Kluyveromyces lactis: one gene and its partner. The protein of the gene in region 1 binds, or shares a complex with, the protein of each later gene. Links are inferred from orthologs where the notes say so. Each region holds a gene or a part of one and is shown in the gene's direction. Other genes may lie near its edges.

Region 1 (2,245 bases):
CAGAATATCTAGAGTAAACCACGGGTTAGAATGAACGCACTCAAGTCAATCTGTAACGAAGATAGTCAAGTTTGTTATTTGAGTCAGGCATAGATACCAGGCCTTTAAAAGAACGAGATGACAGGGGAAAGACAAAGCCAACGAGGGGCATTTCATGTTGGAAACATTGACTCAAAACCGGGTAATGACAATAGAATACAAGGCACGTGATTATCACATGCTTCAATTACCCGGATAACAATGGTGATAACTCGAAGAGTTTCTTACTGGTAAAGACGCGATAAACGTAAATACCAGCAAATGCACTCGTTTCATGACAGCATAAACATTACAATATACGCCTCTGATATCTAATTTGTCACAAGAGAAACTAGAATCTCCATTTGCAATGCGAAACATTGCCACGGTTTCTCTTTTCCCGCATCTGCATGTTCTTTCTTATTGTAAATGTGCCATTTCTTACTCTCCGTTCATATACATTTTTGTTTATAAAGACATTTGATATAATTCGGTTTTATAAATTACCTTAACAAATATCAAGACTGAATTAGTATGAGAAGAATACGTGTGAAAATACAGTTATACTTCCCAGCCCAGTGATAAATTATCATTATCATTAAACAATTAAACACCCAATGTTCAGATTAGCCCAACGCCGTGCCTTTTCGGCCACTGCCCGCACCAATGATTTTGCCAAGATGTCCATTATCGGCCGTATTGGTAGCGAATACCAAGAGTTTACTACTGCTAACGATACTCGTTACTTGAAATACTCCATTGCTTCTCAGCCAAGAAAGGACAGCAACACAAACTGGTTCAATGTCACTGTTTTCAACACTAACCACATCAATTTCATGACACAATACGTCAAGAAAGGTGCTTTGGTTTACATCGAAGCTGATGCTTCTAACTATACTTTCGAAAGAGAAGATGGTTCCAGGGGCCAAAGTTTGAGTTTGGTTCAAAGGGATATCAACTTGTTGAAGAACCCAAAGGCACCTGAAACTGAAGAAGAACAACAAGCTTAAGAATGCTGTGATCTGTTAACCAATTCGTGTTGTTTTCTCTCGGCTGCTAATAATGTATTATTCCACATGGAGTATTTTTTTGACTACCTCTATATACTCTCTCTGTCTCTTAGTAATTACGTATAAATACTGTTTTTATCTAATAAGTTCTATCAAGGACATCTCGAATCTCACTCCCAGCCTTTACTTCTACTAGTATGCCTTTTTTTTTCCCCCATTGTGTCACAGGACATGTTCTGATGAATAGCATTTCTTATTTATCATATTGTCAAGATTTCTAATGTTAAATCATCATCTCATCTCATCAACAAGGTATTAAAAAGATAAAAAAGGGTATCGAACACAAGGATCAACCAATGTCTTTACCACACGCTACATATACCGGACCCAAATCAACTCATGAATTCGAAGTCGATCCTTCTGACCCCAGGTACCAGACTACGGAGGGAAGAACTACTGGTGCTTCAGATTATGTATTGAAACAAGGGCATCAAGACGTCGATAAACCTAGTGACCCAAAGAAGGTTGATAACGTCAATAGTAAGACAGGAATCGATCAATATACCACGCTTTCGCAACTGCGGATGCAATTGACCGGATTACAAGACGATATCAATGAGTATTTGACTGAGAAGATCAATCACGTGAAAAAACCTCGTAACAGCAAGCAAGAACAAGAGATAAACGATCTATTGGATGGTTCTGAAGAAACCTGAAGATTCTGCAGATCGAGAGCTTCGAATTCTGTCGTTTGAGTGTTGAATGGTATTTATACGTACTTATTATCTGTTTGTATATAAATAGTGTCATCAAATTGTACTATATCGTTCCGGTTTTTTGATCATCTTAAAGTTGGTGAGTCAACAGATTGTGACATCTCTTCAGAGAGAAATAGGTACTGGTATACACCGCCAAGAGTCCTAGAAGGACAGCTGAATAACATCAAAGTGTAATCACGCCATGGGCAAGCTATTTCGGGTCGATTTGACCGTTCTTTCTTTTGTCTGCTTGCAATATTGGATCAACTATGTGGATAGAATCGGTTTCACCAATGCTTATGTTTCCGGTATGAAAGAGGATCTCGGGTTCAAGTCAAATCAGTTCAATATCGCTAATACGTGTTTCACCGTTGGATATTTGTTAGGTATGATCCCTCATAATTTGATTCTATTGAGAATCAAACCTCGGATTTGGTTGAGTTTCTGCACTTTTGCTTG
Region 2 (2,118 bases), about 520 kb from region 1:
TTCTGTAAGATGTTTGAATGCTTCGTATTTGAATAACCCATAAATACCCTTTTCTGGAATTCTACTCTATCCAGAGAAGACTGGTATGCCAATACATGTAGTTGTGATTCCAATGGATCAGAATCGGGAGATGGCATATAAGTTGGCTCCAGATTTGTGGTATTTATTAACGCAAAATAACTAAAAGATCCTTCCAGAATATCGGGAATAGAGACGCGAGATTCGAGCTTGTATTCTCTTAAAATTCGCTGGCTAGCAACTCTAAACCTTTCAATGCCCATTTTCTGGTACTCATCTTCTTCGCAGAGATGAAGTAAATTTGCATGAAATCCCAGTGACAAAATTATGAAGAATTTAAGGACATAACCGTTGTCAAAAGTTGCCCTATACAACGGGAAATCGTTGCAGGACAACTTACCATTGACAAATTGTGAGAATATGACAGCTGGATCCATCAACTTCAAAGAGCTTGCCCATGCATTTCCTGTACCCATTGGGAATGGAAGCACTGAAATACAGTCGTGGTTCAAGGGCAGGTTATTAACGAATTCTGATATCGATGTATCACCAGAAAGAAAGAGAACAGTGTACTGTCTAGTGCTGTCAATGCTCGAGGCCAGTTCTATGACAGATGACTTGGATGTAGTTTTTATTAGGCGGTAAGGGACAATAACCTGCTCAAAGAATTGTGCTATGACGTTCGTGGCGAAATCGCAGTCTTTATCCCGGCCAGATCCTGAAAACACCGAATCTACGATGAGCAGTTCCCCCGAATATTCAAATTTCTTATTAGCGAGAAGCTTCTCATCATCTAAGAGTTTCGAACCAAGTTGGTACGATTTAGCACCTTCTGCTAAAAGCTTTGTGACAATTGTAAATGAGACACCGTTATATATCCCTAATTCTTGTTTAGTTACGTTAGACTCGTCAGGCATTCTGGCCATGAGAAAATTTTATCCTTGAAGATCGGCCTGCCAATCCTTAGCTGATAATAAATTATCTTCGCACCTGGTACCAGGACGGGCATTTTGATAGTAAGTCAGATATTAAAGACTTAAATCCATGCTTGATCTAAACTACCTTCAAACTTGATGTTCTGTTATTTTTACCCAATTAGAAATCAAAAAAGTCTTCGAAAAACGCATCCGTACTGTGTGTGGTTCATGTTCAGGATGAACTTATTGACTTTGAGATCTTTATGAATGATACACACTTGAAACTTGCTGCAGTAGTGAGTTCAATCAGCGGATAAATAGTACTCTTTTAAGATGAATAAAGGAGACACGTCTTTCGAGCACTCTTTGTATGTTATTTCTGGCTCTTATGAATGCAAGTTTATAACTTGAAATACTAACAAGTTGTGATGTAAAATGCCGTACAGACATTTGGAAATACCATTTGAAAGCATTAAACAAGCTGATGTAGCAAGGAAAGTGCTGCTTCCAGACCCCATCATGAAACCAGAGGATTTCCAAGTTACTTATTCTACGCAAGACACCAAACTTATATGTGATTTTGAAAGCGTTGACGAGCGTATTTTACGTGTAGGTGTGAACAGTGTCATTGAATCAATCAAGACAATCGTAGAAACTATTGATGAGTTGTGCTAATGCAAACAGAACAGTACACGTTCGGGGTGCCTTTTCATCATCTTCCCATCTTTCTATTACTTTCTAACCTATGGTACTATGAAATTTCTTAAGGCAGAAAAACTAAACGCAGAACAATTTGTGTCATTGCATTCGTTATTCATATTATGCAGGAACGAAAGTGAAGAAAAAAGTTAAGGATCAAGCCTAGCAATATTTACCAACAGTGTCATGAAATCCCTAAGTCTATAGCCAAGTTCTACAATAAAGCATCGTACTGATTAGCGACAATTCGTATCCATGCATTAGAATCAAAGAAGACCGTCGTCATGTGAGATGTCGTTACCATTTCGAGTTGTGGAGACACGCAGAGTACATCACCAGCTTTCAGACGAAGAAAAGAAAAATGATTGAGGTAATATGTAAAGGTTTGGCAAACAGATACAAACCGGTCGTAGAACTTTTCCTTTCCCCTTCCGTTTCCAAGCCAACTTATTAATGTATATATACATATGCCTTACTATCAATT

Evidence for each region.
Region 2: GON7 (region 1) and PCC1 share a complex: the UniProt entries of both Saccharomyces cerevisiae proteins name them as parts of the EKC/KEOPS complex. The link is inferred for Kluyveromyces lactis from reciprocal best matches to the Saccharomyces cerevisiae genes GON7 and PCC1.

Annotation. Positions count from the first base shown.
Region 1 is NC_006037.1:564,792-567,036, forward strand, and holds GON7 (chromatin DNA-binding EKC/KEOPS complex subunit GON7), read left to right. Parts: upstream 1-1,384; coding exon 1,385-1,744; downstream 1,745-2,245. Other genes in the region: RIM1 (Rim1p), read left to right, coding at 636-1,028; FEN2 (Fen2p), read left to right, coding at 1,989-2,245. UniProt on the Saccharomyces cerevisiae protein: Component of the EKC/KEOPS complex that is required for the formation of a threonylcarbamoyl group on adenosine at position 37 (t(6)A37) in tRNAs that read codons beginning with adenine.
Region 2 is NC_006037.1:48,925-51,042, reverse strand, and holds PCC1 (chromatin DNA-binding EKC/KEOPS complex subunit PCC1), read left to right. Parts: upstream 1-1,268; coding exon 1,269-1,303; intron 1,304-1,381; coding exon 1,382-1,610; downstream 1,611-2,118. Other genes in the region: KLLA0_A00550g (uncharacterized protein), read right to left, coding at 1-944. UniProt on the Saccharomyces cerevisiae protein: Component of the EKC/KEOPS complex that is required for the formation of a threonylcarbamoyl group on adenosine at position 37 (t(6)A37) in tRNAs that read codons beginning with adenine.